2 linked regions of the Rhinolophus ferrumequinum genome follow. Each later gene encodes a partner of the first gene's protein in a complex. Links are inferred from orthologs where the notes say so. Each region holds a gene or a part of one and is shown on either strand. Other genes may lie near its edges.

The links. Proteins that work in one complex are often made in the same cells at the same time.
Region 2: the proteins of POLA1 (region 1) and PRIM1 are in contact, whole or in part, in a cryo-EM structure (PDB 7OPL), measured with the Homo sapiens proteins. The link is inferred for Rhinolophus ferrumequinum from reciprocal best matches to the Homo sapiens genes POLA1 and PRIM1. Residues at the interface, in NP_058633.2 of Homo sapiens: Tyr439, Ala440, Pro447, Glu448, Lys449, Ser450, Phe876, Thr877, Thr878, Gln880, Leu906; in NP_000937.1 of Homo sapiens: Asn92, Thr93, Val94, Lys95, Leu96, Gly97, Ala98.

The regions. Positions count from the first base shown.
Region 1 is NC_046284.1:107,388,132-107,395,077, forward strand, and holds the start of POLA1 (DNA polymerase alpha catalytic subunit), read right to left. Parts: upstream 3,065-6,946; 5' UTR 2,908-3,064; coding exon 2,883-2,907; intron 1-2,882. UniProt on the Homo sapiens protein: Catalytic subunit of the DNA polymerase alpha complex (also known as the alpha DNA polymerase-primase complex) which plays an essential role in the initiation of DNA synthesis.
Region 2 is NC_046293.1:55,924,704-55,932,323, forward strand, and holds the start of PRIM1 (DNA primase small subunit), read right to left. Parts: upstream 3,084-7,620; 5' UTR 3,019-3,083; coding exon 2,916-3,018; intron 2,309-2,915; coding exon 2,151-2,308; intron 1-2,150. UniProt on the Homo sapiens protein: Catalytic subunit of the DNA primase complex and component of the DNA polymerase alpha complex (also known as the alpha DNA polymerase-primase complex - primosome/replisome) which play an essential role in the initiation of DNA synthesis.

The DNA of each region.
Region 1 (6,946 bases):
CAGAGTTGCCTGTCCTCGAGGGGCTTAAAGTCAAGTAAAGCAAAGCACCTGAGGCTCCCACCATCATATAAACAGGGTGCCATATAAAAGGTCAGAACATGATACTGAGGAAATGTAGAAAAGAGAGCTGTTAATTTTGCCTGGGAAATCAGGGAAGGCTTCACAGGAAAGGTTTCCAACACAGACCCAGGAAGAGGAGTAGAATTTCAGAGTACAGGGTAAAAAGTGGCACAAGCAGAAGAAAAGGTATGAGCCAGATTACAATGGCCAGATTAAAATGACAAAAAGGCAAGGTGTATTCAGAAACTGAGAGAAAGTCAGTGTGGAAGGTAAGATATGATGACAGTGTAGAATGAGTGGGAGAATGAGGTTAGGGAGAAGAGCACAAGACAGCTCTGCCACTTACTGGGTGACAATGAGAACACCAGTTAACCTCTCTGAGCTGCAGTGGCCAGCTGTCTTCTTGTTTTAAGCTGTCCAGCATCTGAACTTGTTTGTGAAATTTCCCCCTTAGAAGTCTGATGGGACACAAAGCCCATGTCCTATTACAGAAGCTGAAAAGGGAACCGCTGTTTCCCAGACACCCTCACAGCTAGGGCATGGGCATATAAAATAGGCTCTACCAATAGGAACGTCTGCTCAGACTTGAAGTTGGAAGCTAGTGTCACAAGGAAAAGGGCGGGCTGAGGGAAGATTCTAGAAGTAGCAACAGCTGCAAGAGGATTAAGTACCTGGGGCAACAGTGCCAGCAATGTTAACTACAGCTATAACCTCAAGTACTTGGCTATGGTTGGCAATGACCTCCTCACTGAACCAGTTTTGTGGCAGGATTTTAATCACTATTCCTGGCTGAGCAGCCACCAGCTGGCTCTCCCGTCCTCCTAGAGTTTCTGTGAACAACACAATATCCTTCTAGTAAATTCCTTTTCTGTTTAAATCAGCTAGAGTTGGTTCCTATAGCTAGAGGATCCTCAAGGTCCTCATCTGTGAAATGGGGATAATCAGGTCCGCTTCAGCAACATAAGAGAAGCTAATTTAATGTGTGTGTAGATACAGGGTACACGTGTACACACACACACACACACCCTAGTAGTACTGTGGTCTAGCTTCTAGAAAGCAAATAAAGCAAAGCAGCTTTCTCAGGGAAGCACCAATATAACACTGCATATAATTCCTATCTTAGCTCCATGAAGACAAAAAGCATGTCCATCTTACTTACCATTGTAACACCAGAGCCTGGCAGAATGCCTACGCCTAGCAGGTACCTAATAAATATTTGCTGAATGAACCACTGTACCTGCTTTATTTAATCATTAAATTCTCCCTGATCTTGTTTCATATATAATAACAGCAAGTTATAATAAGACCTTTCAACTTTTCACTGCCACTGTCAAGGTACCCCCACCCTCTAATACTTAAGGAGGAAAAATGGCCTAGATTTTCCTTTTTTGGAATATGCTTCACATAGGTAAGTTAGCAAAAAAGAAGAAGCATGAAAAAATCAACTTACAAAAGTTTAAATATTTGGTTCAAAATTACCATCTGGAGTAGCCCCATTGGTTGGGAGCTGGAAAGGAGCAGACCAACACTACCAGGCAGCAACAATCTTTCAGGTAACAATCTTTCAGTCTGCTCTAAAGAAAAAATTCCAGTCACAACTCCCCAGCAACACTTAATCAACACCATGACTTAAGAGGGGTCTCAAGATTGCACGGTATCCTCCAAAGAGTGATTTCTTGATGCTCACAGATGTCATACAGTTTTTAGGGTGAAGAAACGGCTCAGTGGCAAATCAGGGCTGCAAAGACTGTTCACATACTCACATCCTACATCCCATTTGTAATCCACGCTAGTCGATTCTCCAAAATAAATTGTCTTAAAAAACGCAAGGCTAGAAGAACAAATTGAAATCTGATTCACAACTAGGTGAATGTAAAGAAAGCTGATTAGGAAGAAAGTTCTCATTAATGGTGAGGTATTTGAGTGACAGGAAATGTGACACTTGAGCAAAAAAGCGCAGCATGATTTTAAGTTAGAAGTTTGATGAAGTTAAGTCACACTTTAGTTGAACGCTGTTCAAAAAATCAGAAATCAGACAAAGCCATTTGCGTGTTTTGTATTCTATTTTTGGAAATAAAAGATTACCACTGAAAACGGAGTGATACAGGGCATCCAAAATGCTGCTGAACTGATGCATTTTTTCAGAAGCCTCACCAGAAATGACTAGATTGTGAACACTATTTCTGTGCAATACTTGAAGAACTTTCCATAGAATTTGAAAGAAAATTGTTAATGCATAAAGTAGAAACCAAGTACCTAAAAAGACAAATTGCAAAAAAAATAAAAATGAAAAATTGCATTTGTATCTTCTGGCTACAGCACTTGAGCTTTCTTTTCTGCTTAGTTACAACATAAAACAATTTTCCAGGCAGTTTCTATAAAAGGGATGGCGTACTTCTGTCCTAGCCCTCAAGCATACTTGGGGCGGCAATATGAAATACTTTCGGCCAAGACTGTACCCCGCGGGGGCCAGTCTCGATATAGGTGTGCCCAGCACGTGGGACGCGATAAACCAAAAGGAATAAAAAGAAAGGCACGCTAGTGTGGAGACCCAGAGTGACAGAGGTGACGGAACGTCCCAGACAAAAAGCCCCGCAGTGGGGTTGCCAGGAGCAAAGGGCCCTGCAAGGAAGCCCCATCTGACGCCAGTACGTCCAGCTCTGGAAGACCAAGGTCCGCGCCCAAGAACACCCGCAGGGCGATTCGGCAGAGCGCCTAAGGAAAAATAAAACAGAGACCCACCCTCGAGTCCCCACACCTGCAATCACTCCACAGTCCCCGACCCCACATTCCCAACCCGACCCCGAGCACCCCCAGCTCACAGTCATCGCCGTGCACGGGCGCCATGGTCCCGGAGTCTCCCGATTCCGCGCCAACCAGCCCAAAACTGGCGCGGGGGCCGAGACAGGCGCCAGCCTGAAAGCCAATCAGCGGCTCCGAAGGCTGCGGACTTCCGTCCGGAAGGCCACTGACGTGTAGCGCCGCGTCGTGCCCCGCCCTCGGCCTTCCCGCGGGCGCGCGTTTCGCGCCGTGTGATTAACCCTAAGGGAAAAGCACCAGCTGAGCGGAGGCCGAAGGGAACAGGAAAAAGAAGCGGTCGGGCGCTGGAAAGGGGCCTTCTGGAGACTCGCTGCGCAGGCGCACCTGTGCTGATGGGAAAAGATTTGAGTGCGTTGGAGTAGGGGCTCTTTGGTTCTGAGAGATGATTTGCCGGGAAAAGAGATGCGGGCTGGCAGTAGGCTGGACGTGGTTGGACCGGTTTCCCAGGACCCTGGGAAAGCGACTGCATCCTGCAGCACAGAGTCTGGCCTGATACTGTGTCAGAGTGTGGACACAGTCGCTGTATAATACATATATTATAGATAGATAGATACAGATATAGATAGATATCCAAAAAAGTATACATATTTTAAGACAGGAAAAAAGCTGTATTAAAATTGTAGTACTCAATACACACCGGTAACAAAAGATGAAAACAAGTCACGTTTGACTTCTGCAATTACAAGAGGTACTCAATTATCGTAATTTTAACAGTTTTTTCCTTTCTTAAAATGTGTATACATTTTTTTGGCACCCTCTTTATATACATATATACCAGGGGTGCCAATATATATATACACATTTTAAGAGATGTTATCTATGCTCAAGCAGAAGTTCGCTGTAATCAGAAGTGTCTGGACACTGATGGTAACCACTGTGAGCACCTCTTGTAATTGCAGAAGTCAAACGTGATTTGTATTCATCTTTTGTTAACAATATATATTGAGTATTACAATTAATATAGTTTTTTTTCCTTTCTTAAAGTGTGTATACATTTTTTTGGCACCCTCTACACACACACACACACACACACACACACACACACACTGACCACATAAAGCTATATGCACCATACTAACCAAATGACCAAAAGTAGCATCACCAATCAATAAGGGGCAATCATATACCTCTTGATGTGATGCACTTAGAAAAAGGAACATCACCTATATAGTCTTCGTGCAAAAAAATGTTTAACCTGAACCTACCTACCCATGAAGACATGAGATGTATTCAAAGTGTAGGACTATCTATAAAACATCTGGCCTGTACTCCTGCAAAAGTCAATGTTATGAAAGACAAAAAGGGTGTTAGATTCTTGTACATAGTACAAAGCATGCAATGTATGCGTCTCATTTATTGTTTAACAAACAATAAGAACAGAGACATCGGTATGTATATCTTAACTAAAGAACACGTATTAAACCAAGAACTTAAAGTGAGAACCATCTGAGTACCATTTTATGTAGAATTAATTTTAGCCGTGGAGGCCAATGCATCTGAACCCTTTTCTCAAACCCACTAGTGCATAATGCTTTTGGCTCCATACCCCTAGAGAGCAATATTAGATCCATGCCCTCAAGTGATTCATCATGAATTATAGACCAATGGGCAAATCTTTTGTGATAACTGAGCCCTGGATCATAGCAAAAATATGCAATGTCATAGTGAATAAAACTTGCCCCAAAGACAAGTAGCTATACTAATGCTTCAGAACCTACTCAACCAGCTGCATGAACTAACACTTGGGAATGGAAAACCAGAATTCATCTGGGAATTATTAAAGGTATTGGAGCAAAGTTAAGAATTATGAGCTAGAACATCAATCATATAGTCAATCAATAGTGAATTTTAGCAGAGGATGGCAGCATGAGGATTTCTTACTTTATCCTTAAAGTTTATAAAGTTTACAGTAGTAGTTTATAGGCCTTAAAGTTTATAAAGTTTACAGTAGTAGTTTTATAAGGTTAGAACATTGATTCTCAACTTTGACTACAAATTAGAATTATCTGAGCAGTTTTTCAAAGTTTCCAGTGCCCTTCCGGACCTATTAAATCAGAATTTCTGATGATGGGATTCCAATGTGCAGCCAAAGTCTAGAACAAAGAGTCTAGACAAGGTATTGCTAAACCTTAGAATCATCAGCAGGATGCATAACCCAGACATAAATATCCAGTCGAACAATATGTGGTCACATATGCCTGGACACATCTTTTTTCATCAGGAAGGAGAGCTCATCTCCCACCTATTCTAAAGACTTTCACTCTATAATGTCTTAGAGCATTTAGTACTGTGTCTTCCTATGAATGGGATGATATCTGGGTTACCTAAAAGACACTTATGTAAGGCCAGCAGTACTTTAAAAGATCATCCTGGAAACAAAAGGTGTTCAAAAGTGGGGGAGGGGAGCATATCTCCTAGATCACACATTACTAGCTAGGTAAGCCTGCTGAAAAGTTATGTATGTGTGTATAAATCTGAGGCTTTCCAAAACATATATGTTATTCTTAGATCAAAAACAAAGGTTATGTCTTAATTGATCTTTACTTTCATTTGCCTCGATTGGCATAATCAATGGCTAGCTACACATGATGACTCACTATGTTATATCTATTTGTACCTCTTTAATACATTGAGTATGTTTCTAAAAATTCATGTTAATATTTGTTTGTTTTTTTATATGTTGTAGTCTGCCTTACATTTTCAATTAAGCTTTTAATTTTGAGATAGTTGTAAATTCACATTCAGTTATGAGAAATAATACAGAAAAATCCCATGTATCCTTTACCCAGTATCTCCCAATGGTAACATCTTGCAAAACTATAGTACCATATCACAACCAGGACATTGACATGGATACAGTCAAGATACAGTACACTTCCATCTCTAAGGATCCCTTATGTTGCCCTTATACAGTCACACCTGCTCCCCTCCTGCTCAACCCTCTACCCCCACCCCATCCTTAACCATTGGCAACCACTAATCTGTTCTCCATTTCTGTAATTTTGTGAACAGGTCTTTGTATGGACATGTTTCATTTCTCTGGGGTAAATACTTAGGAGTGGAATTGCTGTGTCATGAGGTAAGTATATGTCTAACTTTAAAATAAACTGCCAAACTGTTTTTCCAAAGTGACTGTGTGCAATTTTACATTCCCACCAGCAGAGTATGAGAGATTCAGTTGTTCTGCATCCTCGGCAGCACTAGCAGTTTTTATTATCTCTTGCACTTCCCTGATGATTAATGATGTTGAGTCTTTTTAGTGACTATTGGCCATTTGCAACTGTTTTTCTGCATTTGTTCTTTGTTTCTCTCAGTTCTACTTCTCTGGTTTGGTTTTTATGAAGCATTTTATATTATTACATTTTATCTCCTCTTGGCATATCATTTATACTTCTTTCTTAAAAACTTTTTAATGATTTACCTAGAGTTTACAATATACATTGAAAAATAATCTAAGTCCACCTCCAGATAACATTGTACTGCTTCATGTGTGGTGCAGGTACCTTATAACTGAGTATTCCCAATTCCTTCCTCTCATCCCTTGTGACATTGCTGTCATTCATTTTACTTATCCATACACTATAATCACCCAATACGTTTTTACTGCTTTGTTTCCAACAAAGCTATCTTCATAAGAAGAAAAAAATTATTTTACTTTCATATATACCTTCTCTGATGCTCTTCTTTATGTAGATCCCAGTTTCTGACCTGTATCATTTTCCTTCTGCCTGAAGAACTTCTTTTAACATTTCTTACAGGGCATGTCTCCTGGCAGTGAAATCTCTCAGTCTTTGTCTGAGAAAGTTTTTATTTCACCTTCACTGTATTTGTGTGTGTGTGTGTGTGTGTGCGTGCACACATATGTGCACGCACATGTGTGCGTACATTTTAACAGCTTTTTTTAAAAAAACCATTCGTATAATGAGAAGTTATTTGAAAGCTGCTCTTTAAAAGAAAAAATGTGAATGCATAGTAAACAGCATTTAATTTGCTACAGTGGAATAATCTCTCAAGAATGGTAATAATCTAAAACAGTGAAAAAAATTCACAATCATTAAACAGGCCT
Region 2 (7,620 bases), on another chromosome or scaffold:
GGGGATAAAAAATCCTAAGAGCTTCCAGGTCCAACACAATGGAACAAGACTCAGAATGGCATTAGTCTTAACAACACTGGAAACAAGATAATGTAGCAATCTCTAAAATTCTCAAGGAAAATGATTTACAAACCATTAGTTAAGCATAAAGGTAGAATGAAGACATTTTCCAGATGCAGAAAGTATGAAATATTTTGTCTTCCATATGCCCTTTCTCAGGAAGCTCCCGGAAAATGTGCTCCACCAAAACAAAAGAGTAAACCAAAAAAGAGAACGTAGGATCTGGGCAACTGGGGATCATAGAGAGGTGAAAAGAAACCAAGATGATTATAAGATCATACTGTACTTACCCATCAGACTTAAAAAGCAATCAGTCCAGTTTGGTAATCGGAAGGGGAGAAATTCCTTCAGAATTAGATTTACAAACTACTTGATGGGTGTCTAAATCAGGAAGAGTTAGACAACTGGCAAAGAGTTTGGGGTTGAATTTGTGATCTAACCCTAATTTTTAATCGAACAAACAGGAGCATGGGAATGGGAAGGTTGTATGTGAGGTGAGGGTAGGGATAAGGTTAAAAATAAAGCTAAATCCACATCTGCTAGAATGGAAAGTCAGTAGATAATGCTTGAAATGGAAAAACAGAAGACATATAAGCACGTTATTTAAAGACAAGGAGACAAATACCTGAAGAATCAGCTAAAAGAAAGTGATTGCCTCTGGGTAAGAATCAGCTAAACAAAAGCGATTGCCTCTGGGGAGCAGAAACGAGGAAGAGTAAGAGAACTTTTTTTTTTAAGTAAAAAGCCCAATGAATAGACATACTTGATTTTGTAAATTATGTGCATACATAACTCATAAAAATCACAAACAAAATACAAAAAGAGAAAGGTCTATAGATACCTCTGGCTTGGCCCAGTAAAAAAGTGAGGCATTTCCCAGTGTTGGGGAGGAGTAGAGTGACACCCTGGCCTTTCTAGAGACTTCAGTTTTAATATTCACCTCTAAAGACCAGTAAACTGCTCCAAAGGATTTTTCCTGCCTGCTTTTTCTTATCTCTTTTTCCCCTTCCCCGGGGATTTAGAGTCAAAAAACCTGGTTCAGGTGCTAGGTCTATCATTTAGAAATTGTGTGACCTAAGGCAAATTAAGCTCTCCAAACTTGTTTCCTCTTTGTAAAATGAATAGAGAATTGATATGAAAAACCAGTTATATAACACATGAAAAAGCTCCACACAAAAGCTATTATCTCGTGTACATCTTTAAGGAGAGGAAAAAGGGCAATTTTGGTACGTTCATTCATTCAACAAATATTTATGGTGTACTCTCTCTGCCAAGCACTATTCTAGGCACTAAGACTGTATCAGTGGCTGGGGGTAGGAGTGGCGGTTGCAGTAGGCCTCTCTGAGTAAGGACTGTAAGGAGGTGAGGGAATGAACCAAGATATCTAGGGAAATGGGTTCTAGGAAGTGAAACTGCTTGAACAAGGGCCAATGTGGCAGGAGCGGAGTGAGTGAGGGGGTGAGGGGCTTTTACTTTGAGTGAAATGGGGAGCCACTGGAGAATGGTTTTGAGCACAGGAATCACAGAATCTGACTTGTTTTAAAAGGATCATTCTGACTGCTGTTTTGAGAAAATAGGCTCTAGAGTCTATAGAAGCAAATTGTTAGGAAGTTTTTCCAGTAATTCAGATGAGAGGTGATGATGATGGTAGTAGCACTGGGAGCAGTGGTTGGATTGTAGATATTATTATGGTAGAGATTTCCTAATAGAACAGATATAGGAGTAGGACAGGAATAAAGAATAACTCCAATGCTGGGAGAATGTAATTTTCTTTCAATTCCCTGCCCTTAAATCATGATGACTTCCTCATTTAGTCTTTTATCCAGATACTCATTTTTTTTTTGTCTTAGTGAGAATACAACCAATTCACTGATTTCGTGAGAATACAGCCAATTCAATGATTTCTAGTCGGTAATGTAGAGTGTCCAAGAATAAAAAATATTACAATCTACTTGCAAAACAGTTAAATAAAACAGTTAAATAAACTGTGGCTCTTCAACGAGAATAAACTCTAAAAATTTTGTCTCAAAACGCTAGGGGTTCTTGGTGTAACAAAACAAAACAAAATACATAACAAAACGATTTCTTACTCTGTGAGAATATACCGCGCCTATATCAATCTTATATGGATTCATTTTCTGCATCTCCTTTTCCAGATCATTCTGGTTGTTGAAGGATTGGTAGCGAATGTAAATATCATCTTTCAACGTGAATGAAAATTCACGGTGTTGAAAGTAATTCTTTATTACTGCAAAATAAACGTACATTTTAAAGTTAATTTGGTACTTCATTCAGCTCAGGGCATCATAACATTAACCGATGAGAAGATATTTTTAATGAGCCCTCTGTGCCCAACACTGTGCTACATGAAAAAAAAAAATGTAGTCCCTCATTTGAAGGGGCTTACTACAGGGCATCTCAGAGGGAAAGGTAAAAAATGAGAAAAAAGATGCAGAAATAAATATGTAATGCCACCTCTCTCCTCGGTGGGCAGTAATAAATTCAGCAGCGAAGAGTTAAGTACCTCTTTCCCTCTCGGAGATACCCTTCGGTCCCTGATGCAGATCACGCCTCTGCAGCTTCATCCTACGACCAGTCAGGTACACCAGACACCAAATGTGTCCGACCACGTAGTGGTAGGAGCAACGGCTCTGTCTTTCAACGTGTGGCCTGGTCATTATATCCTCTCTTGGCCCATTTAAACCTCAGAGGTGGTGGGGAGGGCTAGAGATAATAAGTGAAGGAGCCCTGCCCAAAGGCTGGCGCGCAGAAGGCACTTCATATTGTCATTCCAAAGTACCCTCTTCATATTCCCCTCCCGACCTACTACTCATTCCGCTACCCGCCTCCATCACCTCCGCCATAGTTGAGCCAGCGATAGTACTGGGAGTAGGGAAAAAGCCTCCGGTAATAAAGCTTAAGCAGCTCCGGCAGCTCCGCGGGATCAAACGCCTCCATGGAGCACAGTACTCAGCCCCGGCAGGATTACCGCAAGAATTGGCGGGAACCGCACAGCCGGCGCTTTCGACACTGCGCAGGCGCAACGTGGCCGTGACCCATCGTCTGCAGGGGTCACTGGGAATTGTAGTTCCCAATTGGGGATTTAAAAGCTTGGCGCGGGAGGCTCTCCCGGGGGTCTCTGCTCACCCTCTCCGACTGAGGGTCCACTGCTCAGGTGGGCCAAAGGAGGCTGCGCCGATTCCACGAAGATCTGTGGAAAGATGAACTCTTGAGCATATGAAGATGAAGTATAAACGATGTTCGCTAATTTTGAATGTTTTAGAAATAACACATTTAAACAGTGTAAACCGGTATCTTTTTAAGAGGGTTTGGAATTTATTTCTTCATGGTATTACTAGGTCCATTACTATGTAGAAATATTTCTCATCAAATGAGAAAAGCAAAGGGTATTTATTCAGAGTTTGTTATATAGCAAGGGAGTCAGCCACCGTCACTTGCGTTTTGGCAGAAGACTCAAAGGCAGGCATAGGAGTGGGAAAGCTTTACGGCAGAAAAAGGGAAAGGTTTCAGGTGTGACCTAGTTCAAGACTGTTTGCTTGGGGAAGCTGTAGGTGGTCTAACTAGCAGCAGGGCGTCCATGAGATTTGGTTAGGGGTTCATATTTGACCTTCTCCGTTTGGCCCTAAGTTGGAAGTGGGGACAAAAATTAGAGAAGCTGCTAGTTATTAATCAAGTGCTGGCCATTTGGGACCAGTTGTTACAGAGGTTATTGTTTGGCTTTCTGGACTATCACTAGAGACAGCGGTCTGATTTATAGCAAGCTGGCTTCCTGGGCTGTTTATTATAGATAAAGCAGTTGGTTTTCTGGGTAGGCTTTTGCAGGTTGTGGGTCAGTGTTCTGTTTTTATATATGGTCTGGCCATTGTTTGTATATTCAGTCTCTCAAATAGAACACCCAGGAATACTAAAATTTGAATTAGAGGTAGCTTACAGAATCATGGGAGCTTTGCAAGTATGAAAGGAGCCTGTTTGCTATTGATGTACAGATCTGTCAGTCAGTCTTACCTGGTAAAGATACACCTCATTGCAAGTGTGGAGTGGGATGGACAGTCTGATAGTAATCCCATTCGTATTGTGTCACTTGAAACCCATCATTTTCATGAATTTTGTTTTTACAATAATAGTAGGAGAGCAAGGAGAGAATAGTCTGTAGTAAGTTATTATTAGCCTATTCTTGAAAATGATTATAGTCCCTCAGCTCCTATGGGCAACATGGTAAAAGATGGGCTCTGGGCAGATCACACTTATTTTGAATATTCCCAGAAATCTGGCTTCCTGCACAAATCTTAGTTGATTTTCACAATCCCTATGCATCCTGTTTTAGGTAAGGTGAATTTCATTGCTGGGAAGGTCTTCACTATAATAAAACTAACAAGAGGGCCCTGTAGAGCTCTCTTTTCCAGAACCACATCCCCTTGGACTTTTTAAAGGAGGTTTCTCAACTTCCTCATTGCTGCCTTTAAGAACTGACTTCTTTGTGCTATTTGGGAGTCCCCTATTTAAGTTTCAGGAACACTACGGAGAATAACACCTTAAAGAGCTAAAACATAAGGGGAGAAAGCAAAGGAAGTTATATTAATTGAATTACTACGGTATGCTCGATTTATTTAACATTAATTTTCTCATCAGGAAAAAAGGAATAATAAAGGCTAACATTTATTATGCTGTCAAGTACCATTTTAAGAATTTATTCCTCATAAGAACCCTGTGTGGTAGGTACAAATATTATCCCTATTTTACAGATAGGGAAATATGCAGAGAACTGAAGTAATCTGTCCAAGGTCACACAGCTACCATGTTCCCCAGAAATTAAGACTGGGTCTTATATTAATTTTTGCTCCAAAAGACGCATATGGGCTTATGTTCAGGGGATGTCATCCTGAAAAATCATGCCAGGGCTTATTTTCCGGTTAGGGCTTATTTTTCGGGGAAACACGGTAGTAAGTAGGAAAGTCAGACAGCTTGGCTCCAGAGTTTAACCCCCAAGCTACATACTGTGTGTCTACAAGGGGTTGTTGTGAGGGTTAAATGAGATAAAATAAGAGGTGCCTAGCAGAATTCTTGGCCCAGAACCACTCAATGTGAGAAAGCTATTCTGTAAAAGTGCTCTGCTATAGAGGCTTTTATCCCAAGTGCCACTAAGAGGCAGTATTGCCATTCAGTTGGTTTCCCCTTGTGCTTCATCCACTTAGTAGGTGCAAAACCCCTTTGTCCTTCAAGTCTTACACTTTTTACCATCCTCTTTACATTTACTACTTATGTCTACGAGCATCCTCTTTAAGTAATCTATCAGCCCTAGGTCTCTCTCCCTAAGTTCTTTGCAAACTTAGACTCTTACCCAATGGACTTCCCTTCCAGTGCAACTCCTATTGTTATTATGGATGTTTTTAGCATGTGAAAAGATTATCTATTCTGTAAAGATATGGTTCTTTCAGTCATCTTTTAACTCATTCACTTATTCCACAATTAATGAACATTTGTGTTGGGCACTTAGCTGGGCTCTGGAGAGAAAAAAATTAATGACATGATTTCTGCTTCTGAGAAAGTTATAGTCCAGTAGGGGCAATAGACACAAATCACAAAGTGTAATGAAGTGTTATAGATGCATTTATAATGCAAGTGTTTTTGGGCACCAGCATTTTCCTGAAGACTTGAATAAGATTGGCACAGGGACCACAGTCACACAAGTGTAAGTGGCATGGCACTTTCAGGAAACTGCAAGCCATGGCCAGAGCATTGCATGCCAAGCTAAGGAGTATGGAAATAAAAATTATTCATCTTCCATTTTTATTCTGCTTGGGTTAAATTAAAATAAAATATTGATCATGTTAATATTTCATGAGAAGCCTTGGGAGTAAATAATCTTGTTGAAACAAGTACATTGGAAATTTGCAGTACTCTTGTGCTAGTTATTTTCCTTCTCAATAAGAAAAGAGAAGATTAGAGAATGTGTTCTGTTGACACAAGAACATAATAAACAAAGGGAGACTATCTAGGTGGGGCCAATGTCATATTTAAGTTTAATTATGATACGTTCTGTCTCTTGTTATCATAAACTACTAAAAAGTAATAAAGAGTACCTTTATATATGTTTAATGACAAAGTTTTAGTTTAATCTCATAGAAATGTTTCTTTTAACTACAAAGCAAATGATGACCACAAAGCTGATAACACATATGTTATAGTACATTGCAATTGTTCTTTTTTTATTTTTTTATTTTTTTTGCAATTGTTCTTTAATCTATATAATAAATTCAATATATGAAATTGAATTTTTTCACCTAAGCTATCAATTAACACACCAGATTTTTGATTAGTAACTTGCTAATATACATATTGTATAGGTTCTCTTGAGAGACTCTTGGTAGTCATAAAACTACATACTCTTTGGGTCTAGCTTTCTCCTTGCAGACTGCTTAAAATAAAGGATTGCAGGTTCATATCAAAACACAACATCAAACCTTGTTCTTCCACAGGAATTTGGATTTACTGAAGACAGTGGGGAGTCTTGCAAGGCTTTTTTTAAGCAGGGGAGAAACATAATCAAAGTCGTGTTTTATAAATATCTCTGGAGCCCTGTGGAGGGCAAATAGAAGGGGAGAGAGCAATCAGAGGTAGAGAAATCCCAGGAAATTTTTGCTGGGATCCAGCTGACAAGGATTCGTGGCCTGAACTAAGGCAGTAAAGTGGAGATGGAGGGGATTAGTTGAGATAGACTTAATATCAATTAGATGTAGGGAATGAGAAAGTGGTCTAGGATGATTTCCCAGGTTTTAGGCTTGGGCAACTGGATGGAAGGGGGTTGTCTAGTACCTAGTGGGCACTCATTAAATTTGTTGAGTGTTTGTTGAATACATGTAGGGATAGGAAATAACATGAAAATAAAGAGGATCAGATTACAGTGACTCATCATTACTTCAGTTTGAAAAGTTGAGTTTGAGTTACTGCTGTAATATCCTCTAAGGTTTCTTCCATAGCCCATTCATCCAAATGACCACATACATATTTCTTATAAATCACAATATTGCATACTGATAATATGCTACAATATGGATGAACCTTGAAAACATACTAAGTGAAAGAAGCCAGTTAGTCACATGTGAAATGTCCAGAACAGGCAATCTGTAGCCATAGAAAGTAGATTAGTGGTTGCCAGGGGGTAGGGGGAGGGGAGAATGGTGACTGCTAAGGACTATGGGGTTTCTTTCTGGGGGTGCTGAAAGTATTCTGAAACTACGTATTCTGTGAATATACTAAAACCCACTGAATTGTACACTTTGGAAAGGTGAGTTGTGTGAAAATTAATAAACACAAACCTCAGGAAGCTAGAAGAGAGAACTCACACATGTCACCCAACACACACTACTGATCCCAACAGGAAGAGACTTACCTTGCATCTTCAACAGGAAGCGATACTACATTACTACCTCAGAAGAAGGAAGATTTCTCCTTGTCCAGTAACAGCTCAACCACTAGGAGACTGCCTGCCATAATTCAGTCAGTGAAAAGTCACTATACTTCGAACTTTCAGTTTCCTCC